Linked DNA regions of Oryctolagus cuniculus. The protein of the gene in region 1 interacts with the protein of each later gene in a biochemical or structural test. Links are inferred from orthologs where the notes say so. Each region holds a gene or a part of one and is shown in the gene's direction. Other genes may lie near its edges.

Region 1 (6,904 bases):
TCTTTCAAATAAATCTTTTAAAACAAAAGTTAGTTTGCACCAAAATAATCTTAGGAATTCATGGGCACGCGTGTTAAGCTACACGTGTGGCTTTCAGCGCTCAGCGCTCGCCCCGGATCACCTTAGGCGCGCTCGGCGGCCCCAGCGTTTGCAGAACGTGAAGGGAGGAGACGGGGCCGTGTGATGTCCGCCAGGCCCTGCGCCGGGCGTGTGTCCCGGGGCCGGCGCCTCTACAGCCACACGGTGACGGGGGCCGTGCAGGCTGGCTTCGCAGCCCCATCCCAAGTTCCCAGCGTGGTGAGGGGTGAGCCTGCGTCCTGCCAGGAGCAGGGGCCCCGCAGACAGCCCAGGGGACGTGTCACCGCCGGCACTCCCTCCAGCTTCAGACCTGCCCTCTGTGCTGTCGGGAGGCAGGGTGGCCTCCTGGGTGTGGCAGGTACCGCCTGCCCCCGTCCCGCCAGCGGGGCCCTGCAGGCGCGGCCCTCTTCCCGGCCCTCCTCCCTGCCCTCCTCCCAGCCCTCCTCCCTGCCCTCCTCCCAGCCCTCCTCCCTGCCCTCCTCCCTGCCCTCCTCCCTGCCCTCCTCCCGCCCTCCTCCCTGACCTCCTCCCTGCCCTCCTCCCGGCCCTCCTCCCAGCTCTCTGGGCCAGGAGCAGGTGTGAGGCTGCTCGGCCTGGCAGTGACAGGGCTGCGCCCACGGCCAGCGCTCCCGGCTGCCATCAGACCTCTCACTGTGGACTGTGGGCGGGGCACACGCCAGGACAGACAGGTGGCCCCCGGGGGAGGGGGGCAAGTGGGCGCCTCCCTCCTGAGACCCCTCCCCCTCTCCCAGGACCTGCCCGGTGGGCGCCTCCCTCCTGAGAGCCCTCCCCCTCCCCCTCCCCCCCAGGACCTGCCTGGTGGGCGCCTCCCTCCTGAGAGCCCTCCCCTCCCCCAGGACCGCCGCCATGGCCCAGAGGCACTCTGACAGCTCCTTGGAGGAGAAGCTGCTGGAGCACCGCTTCCACTCAGAGCTGCGGCTCGATGCCAGCGGGAACCCGGCACCCGCGCTCCCCGTGGTCCGGGGCTCCCTGCCGGCCCGGCCCAGCGCCGCCTTCCAGCCTGACGCCCCCGCTCCCCCAGGGCACGAGGAGCCCCCACCGGTCATCCTGAGCACGCAGAGCCCCGCCGCCCTCAAGATGGGCACCCAGCAGCTGATACCCCGCAGCCTGGCCGTGGCCAGCAAGGCCAAGAGCCCCGCCCGGCACCAGAGCTTCGGGGCCGCCATGCTCAGCAAGGAGGCCGCCCGGCGGGACCCCCGGGTCCTCTCGGCCCCCAGCTTCTCCCTGGACGACATGGATGTGGACACGGGCCCCGGGGGGATGCTCAGGCGGAACCTGCGGAACCAGTCCTACCGGGCAGCCATGAAGGTTCTGGCCACGCCAGGCAGCAAGGGGGACCCCACCCAGCTCAGCCCCCGGCTCCAGGCTCTGGCCGAGGAGCCCAGCCAGCCTCCTGCCCGGTGTCCAGCCAAAAACAAGGTAGGGGACCTGCTGCCCGGACGCGGTGGGGGGTGCCTCCAGGGCCTGGGAGCGCACAGCTGGGGGTGGGGTCCTGCCCACCTCCTGCAGCACCGCTCACGTTCAGTGAGCACCTGCCGTGCGCAGGCTCTGGGCTGGACTATTCCAGTTAAACCCAATAGCCAGGCTGCGATTGTGAATAACCCACTTTACAGACAGGGCAGCCGAGGCTGGCCTCCAGCTGTGTCGGCCCCGCTCCCAGCCAGTGGAGAGCAGAGCCCCCGTGGGAGCCGGGCCAGCTCGGTGGGACTCAGCAGCCACCCAGAACGAGCTCCCTGCCCCCTCCCCCACTCACCAACTCCCACGTCCAGCAGGCGCTTCCTGAGCGCCCCCGCAGGGAGGGGCAGCTGCTCGCCCTCCCCTGCCTTGGGAGGAGCTGCATTCCCTCTGCGTGCATGCACACACATGCACAGGCACACACGCACACATATGTACACACATGCACAGGCACACATGTACATACATGCACAGGCACACACGCACACACATGCACAGGCACACACGCACACATATGTACACACATGCACATGCATGCACACATGAACACGCATTGCACGGGCACATGGAACACACAGATGCACACATGCACAGGCATGCACACATGTACACACATCCCGAAACACACGCAAGGACACACGTAACACAAATGTGCAGATACTTACGATCGCATGTACACATACAGGTATGCACATAAGTGCATAGACATGCACACATAGGTGCACACATATACACATAGGCACACATGTACACATGCCCACATATACGCACATGTACACAGGCGTGTACACATAGGTTCACATGCCCACATAGGTGCACATATGTACACACAGGCACACACGCCCACATAGGCACACATGTACACACACATATACACACGCCCACATAGGTGCACTCATGTACACACAGGCGTGCACACACATGTACACACGCCCACACAGGTGTGCACGTACACACAGGCGTGCACACACACACACATGTGCACGCACAGCCTGCTTTCCCGGGCTGGGTACCGCAAGCAGCGCCCCTTGTCCCCTGGCCCAGGGTCAGAGCTGGGCTGCCGCAGCTCCTGGACCGTGTCCCTTGCCCTCTGAGTCACCAGTCCCCTGTGGCCCAGGCTGGGTGTTTGCTGTGGGCAGCCACCGAGCCGGAAGACCGGGCACAGTGAGCCTGGCCCCTGGGCACCGTCCTCCAGGTCTGGGGCTCAGGGTCCTTGCCTGGGGGTGGGGTGAGGTGGGCGGGCCCGGGCCTGGGGGTCACTGGCGGGCACCTCGCTCGGTCTGTGCTGGAAGCAGCCCAGGCTCGTAGGCTGCCTCCGAGAAGGGCCTGGGTGCGCTGTGGCTGCCGTGGGACCCTGGGCCTCGGCGTACTCACGGGTAAATGCGGGTGACGAGTGGAGCTGGCACTGCCCCACCCCGGCCCTCCTGAGCTGCTGGAAGGCGGCCAGGGCTGCTGGGAGCGCACAGCCTGTGGGAAGTGTGCATTCGCTGGGCGCCAGCTGCAGCCCCAGCCCTGGGAGACGCTGGGACCGGCTGTCGGAGGGTTGGCCCCAGCGTGGCGTCCCCGGTGCCAGCCCACCTGTAGACAGCCTCCTGCTCGGTGGCTGCTCACAGACAGCCCAGGCCTCCGGCCCCAAGTGTGGTGACAGAGGGTCAACCCGAAACCCCCGCGGGCCCCCGGCTGCCCGTGTCAGTCCTAGCTTTCTGCCGCTATGGGGGCAGGGACAGCCCCGTGCCCACCACGGTCAGGCCCCCAGGAGCCACTCGTGCATCCGCTGGTGTTTCTTAAGAGTGATTTATTTAAACACAGAAAATCTTCCACCCACTGGTTCACCCCCAAATGGCCACGATGGCCGGGACTGGGCCACGCTGAAGCCAGGAGCCCAGAGGTCCATCCTGGTCTCCCGCGTGCGTGCAGGGGCCCGAGCACTTGACCATCGTCGCTGTGTTCCCAGGCCATAGCAGGGAGCTGGATCAGAGCGGAGCAGCTGGGGTGTGACCAGGTGCCCTGGCGTGAGATGCAGGCATCGCGAGCGGCAGCTTAGCCCGCTGCGCCGCAGCACCGGCCCCGCGCACTCACTGGGGGTCCCACATCCAGCGAACGTTTCCCCGGCCCCCCCCCCCCCCGCTAGGATAACGCCCTGAGCCTGGTGGGCGCCGTGCCCGACCCGGAGAGCGCCCAAGGCAGGCGGCTGGGCACTGGGAGCAGAGGAGGCCCGGGAGGAACCTGCGGGAGGGAGGCCGGGACGGGCGGACGAGGTGGGGGAGGGGCGGGGCCACGCCAGGGCCCAGCCCCCGAGGAGGGCGGCACGGGGGTGGGGCGGGGGGGTGGAGGGGACCTGGCCAGGTGTGCTGGGAGTGCCGCACCTTCCCAAGCGGCGAGGGGAGTTTCAGGTCCGAACTCGTTCCGAGGAACCAGCCCCGGCTTTCCCGGTAGCCGCACACCTGCCCGTCGTGTGGCCCAGCCAGAGGGGGGCTCCCCAAGGCCCCCGGTCACCGCCTGCACCCTGAACCTCAGCCGCTGGGGTCCCCAGGCTCTTCCTGCTGCCCTGAGAGGCCCCACCCCCCTTCCCAGCCGCACCTGCCCTGCGTCGGCTTCACTCCAAGCCCACGCCCTCCCCAGCATACCTTGTCGCTAGCTCAACCTTCCTCCTCCTCCAGGCAGCCTTCCTGGGCTCGCCCAGTCCTCAGTCACATGTCCTACCTGCTCTGAGCCCCATCCCGTGCCCTTGTGGAAGTGACATACATTGGGCACCGTCTGCATACTGGGCAGGGCACCCCACACACACACACTGGGCCCAGCTCTGCACGTGGAGTCCGGACCCCCGGCTGACGGCTGTGTTTCTCACTGCAGAGGACGCTGGGGCGGAGAAGAGCAAACAAGGGCTCCTTCAAGGACGGTGAGCGGCTTCGGGGGCGGAAAGGCCGGCGCTGCCGCCGTGGCGCTGGCTGGTGGGGGCCACGGGACCTCAAGCCCACCCTGACCTTCCAGGGCCCGAGGCCCCCACAGCTGCTCTGACCGCAGCTCTGCTGGGGGCCAAAGGTCCAGAAAGTTCCCCGGGGTTCCAAGGCAAGGACGCGGCCCAGTCCCTCCACGGATGCCCGGCCCGGCCCGCGGTGGCCCTGCTGGTGGTGGGACCGAGGCCAGGTCAGAGGGCGCACCTGCTGTGTACCCCGGCTCGAGTCCGTCAGAGGGGAGCCCGCTGGCATCGGGGGCTAGGAGGGGGTGGTAATGGCCGCGCACGGGCCTGCTGGGGGTGGGGGAAGGCGCCTGCCCCGCCCACAGCCCGCACCCTCAGGAGACCCCCTCCTCCCTGCCCCAGACCCCCGCTTCTACCAGGAGATCCGGGAGCGGGGGCTGAACACCGGCCAGGAGTCGGACGAGGACGTACTGGACGTGCAGCCCGGCTCCGAGGACACGCCCAGGGCGGACCACATCGTGGTGGAAAGCTACCGGCCGGCCCAGCTCACCTGGAGCCAGCTGCCAGAGGTGGGGCCCTGCCTGCTGCGCCCAGGGCGGCCGCGGGCAGCCTTGCCGGAGGGCCCCACCTGTGCGCAGCTGGCCTAGGGGTCTCCCCCAAGCCGCCCTGCCTGGTGACCCCCGGGAGAGGGGAGCCACCCAGGGCCAGGCAGCTCCTGCCACCACATGTGTGGGTGTGGGTGGGCGTGGTCAGCGCCCTGCTCTCACTGACCTGCAGGGGGCGGTGGGCACAGAGGGGCGGGGCCTGAGCTCGAGTCCGGCTGCCCCTCGCTCCCCACACCTGCAAACGGGGCTGGTGGGGGCCTGGCTGCGCGCAGGGCTTGAACCACAGCCCCGTGTGTGAGGAAGTGGGTGCTGCTTCCCAGGAGCCCAGGCGGGATCTGGACCGCCCGCTGGGCCTGGCCCGCTCTCCCGCTGGGGTGCAGTGGGGCTCCTTCTCCACCTCGTGGATGAGGGTCCCCCGGTGCTTCCAGCCGTGGGGGCTCAGCCAGGGAGGACGGTGTGGGTCTCCCCCAGGCTGGGTGGCACGTGTGACAATCAGACCCTGGCCTGGGGGAGCTGCAGGCATGGGGGCTGGCAGCCCCGGGGGGAGCGGAGCACGGCTCACCCCGAGCAGGTGGCCCACGGGGAGCCAGGCTGCAGCCCTGCAGTCCCGTCAGCCCTGAGCCCTGCAGGGCGGAGCTCGGGCAGTGCCCACTGCGCTGGCCGTGTCGCCTTCCCAGCATGCACTGAGCCACGGCCCCACCTCCCCCGCCCTCCCCGTGGCCCTGTTCTTTGCGGGGAAGGTGTTCGGGACCAGTGCCCCTCCCCGCGCTGGACGCCCTGTTTCTCTCCGGGGTCTCTGGAGGGCGCAGCCTCCTGACTCCGGGCTGTGTGCTCGCCAGGTGGTGGAGTCGGGCATCCTGCACAGGCTGACCCCAGAGGAGCGCAAGAGGCAGGAGGTGAGGGCGTGGGGCGGGCTGGGTCTGCCGTGCGGGGAGGGCCAGAGCCACACGGACGGACAGTGCCCAGGGGCGGCCTCCACTGGGCTCTCAGGATGGCTGCGCCCTCGCCCCATGCCAGGCAGCATCAGAATCCTCGGGCGAGGGTGGGCGTCCCTGCCCCGGGACGGTGGGCTCCCGCTCCCGGAGGGGTGTCGCGACAGCCATGTCGCCAGAGCCGGGAGCCCGCCCGCAGCCTCCGGTCCCGCCGCAGGCCATCTTCGAGATCCTCACGTCCGAATACTCATACCAGCACAGCCTGGGCATCCTGGTGACCGAGTTCCTGCAGTCTCAGGAGCTGCGAGCGACCATGACGCAGACAGAGCACCACCACCTCTTCTCCAACATCCTGGACGTGCTGGCCGCCAGCCGCAGGTGAGGCCCCGCCCCGCCCCGGCACCTGCCTCTGGCGGCCCAGGGGAGCCGTGGTCTGCACCTGGGGTGGGCGGCTGGCTGGGTTGCGGCGTGACAGCCTCCAAGAGGTGGCTGTGGGCATCCCGGAAGTTCACTGGGGAGGAGCGCTTCCCCCAGGGCACAGCCGCGCCCTGCTGCCTCCAGCCCAGAGGGCCCTGCGGCAGGTGCTCACTGGCCCAGAGCGGCCTCGAGTTGCAGCCCCGGGTCGTCTTCCACCGCAGGTGTCTGGTGGCCTGACCGGGCTCCCGTTACAGGGCTTGTAGGTGCAGGAGGGCCTGGGTGACACCTGTGTCCCCTGCAGGGTGCAGCCCAGGGGTGTACCTGTGTGGGCGCAGCCCTGTGCTCCCCCTGCCCAGGAGGCCCTGGGCCATCTTGGGGCCCCCGAGCCTCACTGTTGACCCAAAGGGGCCGGGGCAGGGGTACAGGAGGCAGCCCAGCGGGCGGCTGCTGGCGCCCTCTGTAGCCCCAAGAAGCTC
Region 2 (7,662 bases), on another chromosome or scaffold:
CCCTAGAGCTGCAGCTCCCCTCAGGGCAGTCACCTGGGGCCCCAGGAACACCTGTTCTCCCCTTTCTGCCTGCTGTCCCCCGAGGCCAGGGAAGGCGGCAGAGACCGTGGGGGGCGTCCAAGATGTGCATTCTCGGATACTTTCATGTAATTCTAAAACAATAAATAAAAGATGTCCATTTTAAACCTGGCCTGATTTTAGAAGAAGAGACTGAAAGAGGCAGACCCAACAGTGAGTAAGCACTGTAGCATGTTCCTCATTATCTGGCAGAGAAATTCAAACTCAAGCGTGGAAACCCTTGAAATGGGCCTATGTTATGCGTGAAGACTGGGAAGGCACGGGTCAAACTGACACTTTTCAATCAACGAGTAGAAGCTGGTGACTCCGGAACCCAGCTTTTAGCCTGTGCCCGGGCGGCCTGTTAAATCCCCTCAAAATGCTGCGAACCGGAAGGCACTCAGTGCCCAACAGGGCAGGGTCTGCTCAAGGCCAGGCTTCCTGCCGCCTCTGCCTCAGGACTGGCTCTCCCTCCCCCTCCAACGCCTGGAGAGAGGGGCAGGCGGGCAGACCTGAACCGGGCGCTTCAGGGGTGGACGGAGGAGCAGCTCCTTGGCTTTGTGCCGAGCCTTTGGCCTGGGGCCCGGACGGAATTCAGGCCGGGTCCCAGATCCCCTTCCATGGTCGGCCGGGGCCACCTAGGCTCAGTAAATGAAACGGGCGCTTGGGTCCAGGCTCTTGAATTCCTGTCCCATCTAATGATGAGACAGCCCCTCCCCTCCAGGCTGCAGACGCAGCGGTGTCTGCTGCCGCGGTCCTGGGCCTCCACGTCCCCCTGGGCTGGGCCAGGGCCCTACCACTCTCTCCTGATACCACTCACCACAGAGAGTATTGCTCTCCCCAGGCAGACTATCAATTCTTGCAGCAACCTGTTCATTACTGCGACTCTGGAGCAGTATTTACTTCTCGATTAGGCACTCGCACTTAAGATAACCCTCCTGAAAAGAAAGGTGATGGATTAACACAGGCAGAGGTATCCCCATGTTAAAACACCCAGTTTAGCTTGGATTTGCTTTTTCTTATGGGAAAGGCAGCACAGTGTCGCCAGGTGAAAGGGATCTGAAGTGACACAGTTCTCCCTCCAGGCACACTCGGCCAACGAGAGCAAGTTACGAGACCAAGGCCTGACACCTGGCCCTGGGCCTTCCCAGCGAGCAGCATTTCTGGTCCTCACTGAGCCCCAGCCACAGCAGCCCCTTAGTGAGGCAGTAGACTGCCAGGAGCAAGGGGGCTAGAGGCCGGCGCTGTGGGTTAAAGCCCCGGCCTGCAGCGCCAGCATCCCCTGTGGGCGCCGGTTCCAGTCCCGGCTGCCCGACTTCCAACCCAGGTCCCTGGGAAAGCAGCATGCACCCGGAGACCCAGAAGAGGCTCCAGGTCAGCTCCAGCTGCTGCGTCCATAAAAGGGAGTGATAAATAGTGGATGGAAGATCTTTCTCTCTCTCCCTCCCCCTCCCCTCACTTCCCTCCCTCTCCCCCCTCTTCCCTCCCTGTAACAAATTAAAAAAATAAACAGAATCGAGTGAGATCAAAGCCCACCCAGCACTACCATGCCGTCTATAGCTCCTAGACGCTACCCCAAGCTGGCCAGGTTAGCGCCCAGTCCCCAGCCCCCACCTGTTCGGCTTCCGCACCCAGCCCGTGCGCTAGAGGAGGAGAGAGGGTCCAACAAAGCGTCTCACACTTCATTTAATCTGAAAACATTACGGGCTCGTCGTCCTCAGAGATAAGTTATGTATAACGTTACAGAACAAGCAGCGAACTCAACACTTTGAAAACCTCGGCGAGTCTACGCGGAGCGCCGCCGACCGGGTCCCGCCCTCGCTCAGTAGACGTGCACCATGCCGTAGAGGAAGGTCCAGAAGAGGACGTAGGTGAAGAGGCCTCCGATGAGGCCGCCCGTGAAGAGCGGCCGCCGCGACTTGAAGTACTTGTTCCACCGCCTGCCCGCCTTGAGGATCAGGAGCAGGGAGAGCAGGACGGAGGCGAGCAGGTAGAAGATGAAGCCGTAGAGGCCGGTGAGGCCGAGGATGCCGGCCGTGGCCCCCGACAGCGCCGACACCGAGGTCCGGCAGTAGTCCAGCACGGCCGCGTTGCCCCGCACGGCTGCCTCGCTGATGAACGGCGGCCCTTCCCTCTTGCCCACCACCGCGGCCATCGCACCCGCCGGGGCTCGGCCTGGGCTCTCTCGCGGAACGAGGCGCGGCTGTGGGGAAAACCGAGTTACAAGTGGCGCCCGGAGCGCGGCGAGTAGGGTCCATGGCCTCCCCCTCCCCCTGGGGCTTCCGAGACCTGGCGCTAGTCCTGGATCTCCGTCTCCCCAAAGACGCCGAGGACGCTGACGGCTCTTGCCGGCCGGGAGAACGGGGACACGCCTGTGTCCCCTAGCCAGGAGAGCCCCGTTACCTGGAACACGGCGGGCGGATAGTCCCAGCGTTCCCTCACACAGGAAGCAGGACAGACCCCCGGGACGCCATCTTGTGCTGGAGGATGCTGGGAGGGCCCGTTACGCATGCGCGCTGGCTCAACTACGCCTCTCGCGCCTGCGCGCCGGGCACGCTCCACCCTCTCCCCGCTTTTCTACGCACGCTCCGGGACTTCCGAAAGCCGAACAGCGCTCCGGCCGGTGATTGGCTGGAGATCTGTTAACTATTCATAAGGGGGCGTGCCCAGCCAGGGTGCCTTTGTTAACCAGGGAGGGAGCGGCCGCGGCAATCCCAGCTGCGGGCTTCGCTGAGCGGTCCCCGGTTACCAGATTGGGATCGAGATGTCCTACATCCCGGGCCAGCCGGTCACTGCGGTGGTGGTGAGTGTACTCGCGCGGGCTCTTTTTCGTCTCGACTTGCCCCCATTTTTCAGAGCGGTAAACTGACACCCAGTCAGGTTGCAAAGCAGCGAACCGGGGCGGGGGCCCGTGCAAACCCGCTGTCAGGGCTCGGGTCTCTGCAGGAGCGCGGCCGCAGCCTCCTCCGGCCACGAAGCTCATTCTGGGGGCTAGGAGCCTCCCGAGGCTCCAGACGGAGGCCAGACTCCGCGCACCGTCGCCCAAGAGGCAGGCTGCTTTGGCCTGCCGGCGCGGGGAGCACGGGGGAGCAAGGCTCCGGATGCGGGCGTCTGGGAAAGCGCCCCTTCGCAGGGCTTCGGTGCCCCCAGCTGGGCAGCCGCGGGGGGCGGGCGCCGGCCCGACGTCCGTGAGTCGCAGCCTCTGGAATGAGGAAGTGCTTCCTCCGCTCCAGCCGGCGCCACCGCCCCGAGGAGCGAGATTTGGGGGTGGGGCTGGCCGGAGGGAGGCCCCTGCCCCATTGGAGTGAATGCGCACCCTACCAGCCAGATCCTTTTCTCAGCTGCTGGATCCCCAGCCCTTGGGGCCAGGGGCAGGTCTCCCGCCTGGCACTTTCGGCGCACCGTGTGCCAGGTGCTGTCAGAACAGGCGAAGGGAGAAAGGGAGCTGACACCCACACGTCTGTGTCCCAGCTGAGTAGGCCCTGGAGGCCACCCCCTCCCCCTCCCGCAGAGTCCCAGAAAGAAGTCCGGTTACGCCCAGCCATAAAGGAAGCCGCCAGGAAGGACCCAGGTCTCCTGCCCAGCTCCCCAGAGGTTTCCGCCTGTGAGAGGTCAAGCCAAAGTCCCAGCCCTGGAGCCGCAGGGACTGGCTGTGCTATCTCCCATGGGCTCCTGCAGCCAGGCAAAGAGGCTGCTGATAAAGGTGGCACGAGGGTGAACTTGGAGAAGGCCCTGCTTAGCTACTGACAGCCGTCCTGAGCCTCACCCTGCGGGCACCAGCTTAGCTCTGCAGAGCCCAACAGCTGCCCAGAGGCTAGGGGTCAGCTTTGCTTCTCAAGTGGAATAAAGGTGGTGCAAGGGAGGGGCCAGAGAGCACCCAGCGAGGCAGTGCCAGAGCCCTCCCACCTCAAGGGCTGTGCGCTTTTCTCCCTTGAGGGCATGTGCTGGAGGAGGTGGGATGGACCTGCAGGAGCCCTCTTTTGGGTACTGGACCCAGTGGGCCTCAGGGTTCATGCTTCCTCCTCCCCACCCCATGCCACAGGTGGGCCCAAGGTCTTCCTTCAGGCTGTAAGACTATGCCGCGCCCAGGTCTGCAGCACCAGGAGCCGCCTGGGTGGGCCTGGCCTCTCCCTGACCATCTGCCTCCTGGACACCTTCCCGGATGGCTCCTAGCACTCCAGCCCCACCTGCTCCTTCTCCTGGGTCCCCCCATTGGAATGTTGCCGTGTTCAGCATTCCTGTCCCCAGGCTTCCACCCCAGCCTCTGAGGCACCTGCTCTGACTGCCCAAGTAGTTGTTCTAGCCTCAAACTTGACCATGCCCTGTCCTACTCCCCAAGCCTGGTCAGCTCCCCTGGGTTCCAGGGTCAAGGCCAGGCAGCCAAACTCCTGATCATCCTCTCAAGTCCTGGTTCAAAATGATCCCTCCTTGGTGAAGCCTCCTCAGGGCCGAGCAAGTCACCTTCCCTCCCCCCCAGCTCCCAGCTTTGATCTGGTGTGGCTCCCAGCAGTGACTTGAGGGTGCCTGCTGAAGGCTCTGAGCACCCCAGCCCCAGAGCATGTTGGGAGAGCCCCAGAACACTTCTCTGCCACCTGCACTGTGCATGAGCAGGGCCCGGGGCTCCAGGAGACCCCTGACCTCATCTGGGACCAGTCTGGTGGTCCTGCATCCCAGACTTCTCTGTCTGGCACCAGCCCCATCTCACCTTGCAGGTGCCAGTGTCACAAACGTCCAGCATCTGCAGTCCTCTTCTGTCCCCGGCTGATCTGCTCCACTTTGTCCCAGCACCTCCTGCCTTGCTTGTGACAGGCTGGCTCCCAACGGCAGTGTCACCTTTTCAGGGCCTGGCCCTTCCCACCCCGTGTCCTAGGTGGAGCCCTGGCTCATAGGCCAGGAGGGGCTGTGAGCACTTGTGACTAAGACTGGCACCTGAGACTGGGAAGGGGGAAAGTGGAGGGCAGGACTGGGTGAGGGGGTCAGCCTCCAGGGCTGGGGACCAGCTGCATTCCTGTAGGGGACTCCGGGCCCCACCCCTTGGCACGGCTCGGAGCTGGCCTGGCACTACCAGAGGCCTTCTCTACATGCCCACCTAAGCCAGCTTCCTTTTTTGTTTGCCAGCAAAGAGTTGAAATTCACAAGCTGCGTCAAGGGGAGAACTTAATCCTGGGCTTCAGCATTGGAGGGGGCATTGACCAGGATCCCTCCCAGAACCCCTTCTCGGAGGACAAGACAGACAAGGTGAGGGGGACCGGAGGCCTGAGAGGGTGGGCACTGCTTCCTGGGCCTGTGTGGGAAGAGCAGACCCCATCTCAGAGGGTCCAGGAAATGATCGGCTGGGAAAGAGTAGGGGTGGAGGTCGGTCTGCCCAGCTGCCCAGGAGGAGCGGGAGGTGGCCCTCAGCCAGGGCTGGGGCATCCCTGGTTGCTTGGCATAGCCTTCACCAGCTGTGTGCCAGGGGAGGCTGGGGACAGGGACAGAGGGACAGCTATGGGTGTGCTATACTGGGCCTCCTCTGTGTATGAGAGCCAGTCCAGGGGCCACAGGGCCTGACCCAGGCTTCTCTTCCCAGGGCATTTATGTCACACGGGTGTCTGAAGGAGGCCCTGCTGAAATTGCTGGCCTGCAGATTGGAGACAAGATCATGCAGGTAACAGGTGTCCCAGAGGAGGAAAACATGGCTGGGGCTAGAGGGGTTGAAACACTTGTGGGTGGGGGCTGGGAGACACTCACCAAAGCCCTTTGGAGCCCATGCTGGTACTGCCCCGGAGGAAGCCGGCTCTCCTCTGTGTACTTCAGGGACGCTAGGTGGAGGGGTGACCCAGGCCTCTTAAAGCCCCCTGGCCTCTAGATGTCAGAGGGCAGTGGGCTGAGCTGGGCTGTTCTCTCCGTGGGCCAGGTGAACGGCTGGGACATGACCATGGTCACACACGACCAGGCCCGGAAGCGGCTCACCAAGCGGTCGGAGGAGGTGGTGCGCTTGCTGGTGACGCGGCAGTCGCTGCAGAAGGCCGTGCAGCAGTCCATGCTCTCCTAGCAGCCCGCCAGGCTCCCTGGCTCGTGCCTGTTTGTATAGCGACACCACTACCCACGCGCTATCTGTCCCACGTCCCGCCTGTGGCTGAATGCTGAGCCGCAGCTGATCCCAGAGGCCTGATCCCGCCTCCCTGTCACACTCCCGCCCCCAGCCCGAGGCCTCTGGGACCAGCTGGCTCCCTCGGAAACTGAGGGCTGGGAAGAAGGGTCTGGGGCCAAGTGGCTTCCAGGCTGCAGTGACCCTAGGCTCAGCCCCCAGACCCTGCTGCCTGCACAGCAGTGCCCCAGGGAAGCCGGAAAGACTTCCTGAGAGCCGCCAAAGCTGGGGAAGGCTGGTGGGGGGACGCCTTTCCCACCCTGCCCTGCCTCCCGTGTCACCTCCGCAGTGCCTGCGCCCCACACTTTCTCCGTGTTGTCCACTAGGGGCTGGACCCATGCTGCCAGAGGCACTGGGAAGGCCTGCCCCAGGGGAGGCAGGCAGGCCCCTTGTTCACCCCACTTCCCAGGGGTGGCCTCCCTGGGGCCTGCCTGCCTGCAGGATTTAGCAGAGCTCTGAGGCGGACATCTCAGGATTGCCACTGTCCTCCACGCCTGTGGGTTTAACTTTTGTATTTTTTTAGTCCAACTTTGATACAAAGCCTTTTTATTGTACTGTTTGGAGATGCCCACTCTGCTCTGTAATTTAGCTTACTAATTCACATCCAGGGCAGCTCCTAGCAAGTGGACAGGCCTCACTCTGGTTACCATGGAAACGGGGCTGGAGGCCACTGTTCCACCTCTGACATCTGCCCAATAAACAACGCTGGAATCCATGAGAGCTCTTTGCCAGGGCTGGGGGCGTGGTGTGTGCGGGTGGCTCAGGGCGAGCACAGGGTGGCTGGCTTGTCCCTGGCTGCTCTGAGGCAAGAAGACAAGGCCCGACCATTCCCAGGTCCTCTTGCCAGGGAAGCCGAGCTGGTGGGACCTTGGAGCTTCAGTGGGAACCGCTGTAGCAGGCAAGGACCACATCTGGATGCACCTGCACTGGAACTGGGGTGGGGGCCGGGACTGGCCCCTGAATGCCTGAAACCCGCCTGTGTAATTCAGTTTCAGCTCCCACCTGGGCTGCACCTCGTACACCCAGGGGGTCTTGGGAAACATGCCCCAGCCAGGACACAACCCCAGATGTCACCAGGGGCTGAGGTCTGGCCAGTTGGGTCCAAGCAGAGTACCCAGCCCCCTGCCTACCAGCCCTGGGAAGTTGTGGCCATTCCTGGATCCGTCTCGCACTGCCAGGTGTGATTCTTAAAGGAGAGTCAAGATTCTGAGATCTTTTAAAGCGTATACAGACATGGCAGGCTGGCTGTCATCTTCGGCATGTGTTACAGCTGGACAAGGATCTGCAGAGCAAGGCCTCCACTGCTGGGCTCCCAGGGGCAGCACGCCCTCCATACCTCACCCGCCCCTGCTTACACCCATAGCACAAGCAGCAGGCCGTGGTACCTGTGAGACCTACCTGGCCCTGGGTGTGCAGGCGTCTTGCACTGCCCAAGAGGGCTCCATGATGAATGATGTGCAGGGTCAGCACTCGGC
Region 3 (7,522 bases), on another chromosome or scaffold:
CTTTGGGGAATCTGTTCTGTGGCAACCAATAACTCAGACAGATAGAAAGGAGAGTAAAGAGTAATGATGCTTCCCACGTGGCCAGAACCTTTCCTGGCCCTAAGTTCGGGCTAGTGTGAGGTCCAGTCCTGCTTTTGGGCACTCCTGACAACTGAACAGGGTAGTCACAGTAGATGACTTGATAAATAACATGCCCTATTTTTCTCCTCATCCTCACACAATTTGTTTTTGACCCCTTTTCTGGCTTCTGGGAAAGTTGTACTGGCTTTTGTTTATCAGCCATGAGATTGTGGATCCTTGAGAACAGATCCTGTGTCTCATTTCTTTCTCTCCCCATTGCCTAGCAAGCGCACACGTGAGAGTATTTTGAAAGATTTGTGAAGAGAGAGCATTTGGTGTAGTGGTTAAGACCCACTTGGAACAGCCCCATCCCATATCAGAGTGCATGGGTTCAAGTCTTGGCTCTGCTCCTGACTCCAGCGTCCTGCTAATGCACACCCGGGTGGGCAGCAGGTGATGGTTCATGTATTTGAGTCCCTGACAACCACATGGGAGACTTAGATTGAGTTCACTGCTCCCTGCTTCAGCCTGGCTTAACCCCAGCTGGTGTTGGCATTTGGGGAGTGAACCAGCAGATGAGAGATCTCTCTCTACTCCTCCCTACCTCTCGTCTTTTAAACAAATAAAATAAATAAAAATTAGTTTTTAAGAAAATCAGAAGATTTGTGAAAAACAGAAGTAAAAGATAAGCTTATTTGGCGTAAACAATTTTGAAATCCATGCAAACAAGGGTCTTCAAAAAGTTCATGGCAAATGGGTATTATGAAAATGTGCAAGTATCATTTTTGGCATTACAATGTTTTAATTCTATTTTCCATTAATATTTTGGAAGCACCTTTATATGTGAATCATGAGTAGTATCAAGGGTTACAGCAAACTTTCCTTCCTCTTCTCTCATATTTCAACACGACGCTGTCAAGTTCTCCAAAAGCCTGGTGGAAAGAGCCCTGGCCTGCAGAGGGAAGCCCCGAGTTGTTGGTCTGCTCTGTCACCGAAGAGCCTGCGTGTCCTCGGGCAACTTGCTTCCCCTTTGTGGAGCTCAGTCTCTTCATCAAGACCGAGAGAGTGGGTCTGGATGATCTCTAGTGTGTTCGGCGTCTCCCCAGTTAGGATTCCAAGGTGCATCAGAAAGTGAAACCCAGGGGTCAGCAGCGCGGAGCCGCAGCTGCGGTTACGGTACGAGGCTCCCGGGACTCCCCGTTATTAGCCAATGGCCACAGTGTGAGGGGAAGGCAGTCGGGTTCACCGGGAAGAGTGTTCCGGTCAAAGGACAGAAATCTCCCGGTTTCCAGCTCTGTCACTAACTCTGGTCAAGTTTTCCTTCGGGACCTCAGCGCAGGGAGGTCCCGCTTCCCCAGAAGAAGCGGAAGACCTGGCAGTGACCTGGGGAGCGCTCAGTACCTCCCCTTCTGCCGCCCGCAGGGCTCCAGCGGGCCGGCGGTTCCGCTCCGAGGTGCGCGAGAAAGTTGAAGGGCGCCGGGCCGGCGGAGGTGAGGTCTTAAAGGGGCCTCCAGAGCCTGAGCCACGCCTGAGGTGCTGGCTGGGCGGGGACGGCAGGCTTGGGGGGATGAATGCAGGAATGAGCCAGTGAACGAGGAACCTTCTCTCGTCACCCTTCAGTGCGCTCAGACTTGGGACCCAGACCTCAACTTAAATATCCTCTATTGAAAGCCTCAAACTCGTGCCACATTTCCCGGTCTCCCTACTGCGCATGCCCTTCTTTAATGAAAAAGTCTCAAACCTTTAAAGTGGGGCGCATAATAACTTCTAGACAATCAGTAGGACGGGGAAGGTGGCCTGGAGAGGGCACCCCCGCCCCTCCCCACCCCTCCTTTCTCCTCTCCCAAGCGCCGGCTACCCCGCCCCCTAACGTGGGTGGCGCCGTGGGCTCCTCCCCGAGTGGGGTTTGCGCAGTTGAGGAGGCACCCCGGCGGCGCCAGGCGCCCTGTCCGGTCGTGGAGTTGGGTGGAGCACGTGTTTGGTCAGGTTAAGGGGTGTTTCGGCATGTGCGTTTGGGACCCAGTGTAGATGGGGTCGCGTCCGTCTTCAGAGACCCCGAGCCTTTCCAGTCCCGCACGCTGCACCTCCAGAACCGCGGGGCACACGGTGGGGTGCAGCGAGGTAAAGGGGCAACCCCGGACCACCTGTAGAGTCCGTGTGTCAACTCCTTTGTCCTCCGAGCCTCTTGGGCGGCCGCCCCTTTAAGCGAGGAGGTTCACTCGGGATGCTCCCCGGGCCCCCCTTCGCGTTCCCCAGCCTCCTCCCGGTCCTCCTCCCCTTCTCAACCCTAAGGTAGCAGTGCTGAGAGCCCGGGGCTGGGCGCGAGCCGCCTCCTCACTTCCCATTGGCTGCGAGCGCCGGGAAAGCGGTCACGTGGCAGCGCGGCAGTCCAGCTCCGAGGCCGCCATCTTGGCGGAAAGTTTGGGGGGAGAGCGACCGGGGGCGCGGAAGGAGGCGAGGTTCCGGGGGTGGGGCGGCCAGCAAGCGAGAGGGCGAGCGGGTTAGCTGGCCGCGGCGTGTGAGGAGGCGGCGGCTGCGGCGGCCGAGGAGGAGGACGAGGCAGCGGGGGTGCGGCCGCCGAGGGGAGCTCCTCCCCCGTCCCCTCACCCCCTCAGCTCAGCTCCTCGAGCCCCGGGCGGGGCGGGGGTACGTGGAGCCGGGCTGGGCGGGGGAGCTGCTGCGACTCGGCCCGGAGCGCACCCCAGCTCCGAGTGCACGCCGCTCGCGGGAACTTTGTGGCAGCGCCGCAGGTGTGGGGGCCCGCGGAGGTGTGCATGTGGGGCGCGAGGGCGTCGCGGAGAGCGGCCGCTGCCCTGTCCGGACCCCGCCGGAGTAGCCCGGAGGAAACAAGCAAGGAGAAAGGCAAGCGAGAGGAGGGGGCTCGGGCAGGGCTGGGTCCCTTTTCCGAGCGCTCGGTGCCGCTGGCGCCCTAGGGGCCCAGGGTCGGAGCGCCCCTATACCCACCGCCCCCGGGGGCAGGTGGGGAGGCGGCCCCTCGGCCTGGCAGGTAGTGTGCTCTGTAAGGTGGGGGGAAGCTTTTGTAGAGAACTGGGAAGCCGACTTGATTGTCTGGTCTTCATTGGCGGGGGGATCCACCCCGAGGAGAACGCTTTCTACCTGGGCTGACACTGCTGGGTTTTGAGGCTGTTCCTTTCACTTGGGAAAACTTTGGAAGGGGGGCTTTGGATAATAGGGCTTTTTTTTTTTTTTCGGTTGGAGATTTAACGAGGAAATGCTAGTTTCTGCTCGATTCTATTTTTCAGTTTTGTTTTGTTTCCTCTCTTTCCGTTCTGTGTTTGCAAAGGTGTGTGCGGGCTTCCTGATTCTGGAGAAAAATGCCGGTCCGGAAGCAAGGTGAGGATTTATTTCAGAACACTCTTGTGGATGTCAGTTTTGTGATTGCTGTGTTGAAAATCTTTGTGTAACTTTGACGAGACACTGTGGAGCTAGTGTCATTGCTTGGGGAATCTAAGCCTCACATCATTTCAAAGATTGACACCTGTTCAACTCTTCTTCCTCTAGTAAATTCCAGAGGCAGTTAGTCCCGCCCCCCCCCCCGCCCCTTTAAAAAAAGCTCTGAATTGGTTTTCAGTATTTCACTTTATCACTCTTAGTAAACACTATTGGGTGAGCAGCTGTGGGATGCTAAGAGTAGTATTTTGAAACGCTTAAAATTTGAAGTATAATGACAACTTGTAGATAATCTGCTTTTGCTTATCAGGTAATCTGAAACGGTGCTGCTAATACTTGCATCAGACACTCTCACTGTGACAGACTAACAGTACATATCTGTTATACACTGCTTCCTTCCTTCCTTTTGCTACTGGGATGCATGTTCCAACAGTTTTCTGATCATTTTGGAGAACAGGTGTACATGAGCATTTTGCCGTTGATTGACCTAGAGAAATTGCAGAACTGCTCAGATGCCTTGCGGAATCATGTGCACTAGCATGCAAAGTTTGTAAATATGTATACACTTTTAATCAGTCTCTTCTTTTCTCAGATACCCAGAGAGCCTTGCACCTTTTGGAAGAATATCGTTTGAAACTAAGCCAAACTGAAGACAGACATCTCAGAAGTTCCATAGAACGGGTTATTAACATATTTCAGAGCAACCTCTTTCAGGCTTTAATAGGTAGGAATTAAAACTTTATTTGTGACCGTATGTGTCAGCTGGTTATGCTCCTCTGAGTTCAATTATTTAAACTTAAGAGAATGATATGTACTTGATTTTCTATGTGGCAGTTTGAACATCTTCATGGTTGATGATGCTTATCATGGTTAGGCTAGTATCCTTTCTAGAATTATCTAATAACCAAAAATAATCCACTTTAAGTAGAATTATTTCAGTCATTTTGAGAACAGTGTTTCATATTCTTGCATTAGCTAAAAGATGGAGAAGTTGCAGAAAGTTTCAGGACTCAGAAAGCAGCGACGGAATCATTAGCAGCTTATTTTCTGTATTTGATTTGTATTTCTCTGGCATCCTTAGGAATATTTGGGTGTTTCTGCTATGTTCAAGAATATTCTCTTAATATAGGACTCTGTGTAAGCTTGGCATTTATGGAGCCAGAAATTTAGATCTGAAAAATGATCTCAGAGATGATCTTTTTTTTTAATAACTATTTTGCAGACAAGAACATTGAAACAGAATTTTATTCATACTAAAGATTGAGGTGGTGTATTGTTTTAAAGGAGACTGGATAAATAGTCAAGGCCCCAAATTCAGTTCTTGACACTACCATTAATTGAATGATATTACACATGTTTTTTAACCTTTTCTAGAACTGTAGAATGTGAGTGGTGAAATATAACAGTGGGTTTTAAGTCTTTTTTTGTTAGGTAACTAGATCCTTTTTAAAAACAGAATTGTGTGTTTTGTATACACTCCCTGTTACATAAAATGTAGTGATAGATAAAGTGGCTGGGATATCTCTAAAAGTTTGCAAACCACTAAACTAGAAAATTTGTACCAGGGGCCAGCGCCGTGGCTCACTTGGTTAATCCTCCGCTTGCGGCACCGGCATCCCATATGGGTGCCAGGTTCTAGTCCCAGTTGCTCCTCTTCCAGTCCAGCTCTCTGCTGTGGCCCGGGAGGGCAGTGGAGAATGGCCCAAGTGCTTGGGCCCTGCACCCGCATGGGAGACTGGGAGGAAGTACCTGGCTCTTGGCTTTGGATCGGCGCAGCGCCAGTGTGGCAGCCATTTGGAGAGGGAACCAATGGAAGGAAGACCTTTGTCTCTGTCTCTCTCTCTCACTGTCTATAACTCTACCTGTCAAATAAAAAAAAGGAAAGAAAATTTGTGCCTTTCAGTTCTAAGAATAAAATTTTAATTTTGAAAAAAAAAAAAGATTTATTTATTTATTTGAAAGGTGGAGTTAGAGAGGCAGGGACAGAGAAGTCTTCCGTCCACTGGTTCACTCCAAATGGCTACAGCAGCCAGGGGTGGGCCAGACTGAAGGCAGGAGCTTCATCCTGGTCTCCCACGAGGGTGCAAGGACCCAAGGATTTGGGCCATCTTCTGATGTGTTCCCAAGCACATTAGAAGAGAGCTGGATTGGAAGTGGTGCAGGTGGGACTGGAACTGGTGCCCATATGGGATATTGGTGCTGTGGGTGGTGGCTTAGCCCTCTATGCTACAGTGCCAGCGTCTTAAAAATTTATCTTTTTAATTAGTCATTGACTATATAACATTTTAAAATACAGAGACATAGACTTCATGGTGTTAGAAATATTTCCTCAGTAACTTCCAAGCAGATATGGTCTTATGTTTTTCTATTGATTTGAGGACTACCTTCATTTCGGTGTTTCCTGATAACTTATTGATGAATTGATGTTTCTGGTTTATTTTAGAATTTTTTTTGAATTTTTAAATAATTTATTTACTTGAAAATCAGAGTTACACAGAGAAGGAGAGGCAGAGAGAGAGAGAGAGAGAGAGGTCTTCCATCTGCTGGTTCACTCCCCAGATGGCTGCATCGGCCGGAGCTTCGCTGATCTGAAGCCAGGAGCCAGAGACTTTTTCCCAGTCTCCCATGCAAGTGCAGGGGCCCAAGCACCTGGGCTGTCTTCTACTACTTTCCCAGGCCACAGCAGAGAGCTGGATTGGAAGTGGAGCAGCCGGGACTTGAACCAGCATCCATATGGCATGCCGGCCCTGCAGGCGGCAGCCTTACCTGCTGCGCCACAGTGCTGGCCCCTAGAATTATTTCTTACGAAGACTACTTGATACAGCTACTTGGTACACCTGAACAGTTTTAGAAATTTAACATTCTCAAAGACTTTCAAAAACATATATAAGAATAGAGAGCACAGTGTAGTGAACTACCACATATATGTCACCCATCTCAAAACTTACCAATATTTTTCCATTTGTGTTTATATTGATAGACTTTTTTACATTTAAATTTTTAAAATAATCTTTGTCTTTTGAAATTTTTTTTGTGTTTTATTTATTTAAAAGGCAGAGAGACAGATCTCCCATTTGCTGGTACATTTCCTAAATCGATAAGCCAGGAGCTCAATCCAGGTCTCCCATGAGAGTGGCACAGGCAATGGCTTAGGTACTATCTGCCCCACCCACCTAGGTTGCTCATTAGCAGGAAGCTGGAACTAGGAGCAGAGCTGGGACTGGTACCTAGGAACTCTGATAAGGGATGCGGACCTTCCAGTGGTATCTGAAGCATTATGCCAGACATCTGCCTCTGCATTTTGGTTTCTAAGATCTGAACTTTAAGGTCCAAATGGATGACTAAATTTGATTCCTCTGGAAAAAAAAAAAGGGGGGGGAAGGATAATTTTTTAGTTGTTTTATTTAATAGGGTCACTGTAGAAAAGACAGTATGACTTATTTGACCTCAGTTCCTTGTATATCTGGATATAATTTTTATGTACTTCAAAAAGTTTATGGAGAAAGGAATTAAGATAAGTATATTTTGGTGCAAAAAATTTTGCAATTTAGTTTTTCTAGTAGGTCTTTTTTCATGAGCTTTTTTTTTTTTAAAGATATTTATTCAAAGTCAGAGTTACAGAGAGAGAGAGAGAGAGAGAGAGAGAGAGAGAGAGGTCTTCCGTCCATTGATTCACTCCCCAACTGACTGCAACAGCCGGAGCTGTGCCTATCGAAGCCAGGAGCCAGGAGATTCTTCCAGGCCTCCCATGCGGGTGCAGGGGCCCAAGGACTTGGGCCATCTTCTTCTGCTTTCCCTGTCCATAGCAGAGAGATGGATTGGAAGTGGAGCAGCTGGGACTCGAACTGGTGCCCATGCAGGATGATGGCACTGCAGGTGACGGCTTTACCCACCATGCCACAGTGCCAGCCCCTCATGAGGTTTTCAAAGCCCCCTTGTATGCACAGATTTCAAAACTTTTTTTTTTTTTAACAAAAATTTATTTGAAAGAGTTACAGAGAGACAAATACAAAGAGGGAGAGATCTTCCATTCACTAGTTCACTTCCCAAA

The links. The genes of interacting proteins can lie anywhere in the genome.
Region 2: the proteins of ARHGEF16 (region 1) and TAX1BP3 form a complex in vitro, tested with the Homo sapiens proteins (2 studies listed by BioGRID and IntAct, with this or other methods). The link is inferred for Oryctolagus cuniculus from reciprocal best matches to the Homo sapiens genes ARHGEF16 and TAX1BP3.
Region 3: the proteins of ARHGEF16 (region 1) and DLG1 interact in a test that uses a peptide from one of them, tested with the Homo sapiens proteins (2 studies listed by IntAct, with this or other methods). The link is inferred for Oryctolagus cuniculus from reciprocal best matches to the Homo sapiens genes ARHGEF16 and DLG1.

What each region holds. Positions count from the first base shown.
Region 1 is NC_091438.1:162,948,935-162,955,838, reverse strand, and holds part of ARHGEF16 (rho guanine nucleotide exchange factor 16), read left to right. Parts: intron 1-935; 5' UTR 936-945; coding exon 946-1,518; intron 1,519-4,407; coding exon 4,408-4,453; intron 4,454-4,876; coding exon 4,877-5,043; intron 5,044-5,918; coding exon 5,919-5,975; intron 5,976-6,228; coding exon 6,229-6,389; intron 6,390-6,904. UniProt on the Homo sapiens protein: Guanyl-nucleotide exchange factor of the RHOG GTPase stimulating the exchange of RHOG-associated GDP for GTP. May play a role in chemotactic cell migration by mediating the activation of RAC1 by EPHA2.
Region 2 is NC_091448.1:48,982,753-48,990,414, reverse strand, and holds TAX1BP3 (tax1-binding protein 3), read left to right. Parts: upstream 1-2,606; 5' UTR 2,607-2,821; coding exon 2,822-2,860; intron 2,861-4,762; exon of another isoform or gene 4,763-4,935; intron 4,936-5,175; coding exon 5,176-5,295; intron 5,296-5,626; coding exon 5,627-5,704; intron 5,705-5,787; exon of another isoform or gene 5,788-5,953; coding exon 5,954-6,091; 3' UTR 6,092-6,902; downstream 6,903-7,662. Other genes in the region: EMC6 (ER membrane protein complex subunit 6), read right to left, coding at 1,880-2,260, 2,461-2,568. UniProt on the Homo sapiens protein: May regulate a number of protein-protein interactions by competing for PDZ domain binding sites. Binds CTNNB1 and may thereby act as an inhibitor of the Wnt signaling pathway. Competes with LIN7A for KCNJ4 binding, and thereby promotes KCNJ4 internalization.
Region 3 is NC_091435.1:83,755,839-83,763,360, reverse strand, and holds the start of DLG1 (disks large homolog 1), read left to right. Parts: upstream 1-2,466; 5' UTR 2,467-2,834; coding exon 2,835-2,922; intron 2,923-3,364; exon of another isoform or gene 3,365-3,395; coding exon of another isoform or gene 3,396-3,414; intron 3,415-4,063; coding exon 4,064-4,195; intron 4,196-7,522. UniProt on the Homo sapiens protein: Essential multidomain scaffolding protein required for normal development. Recruits channels, receptors and signaling molecules to discrete plasma membrane domains in polarized cells.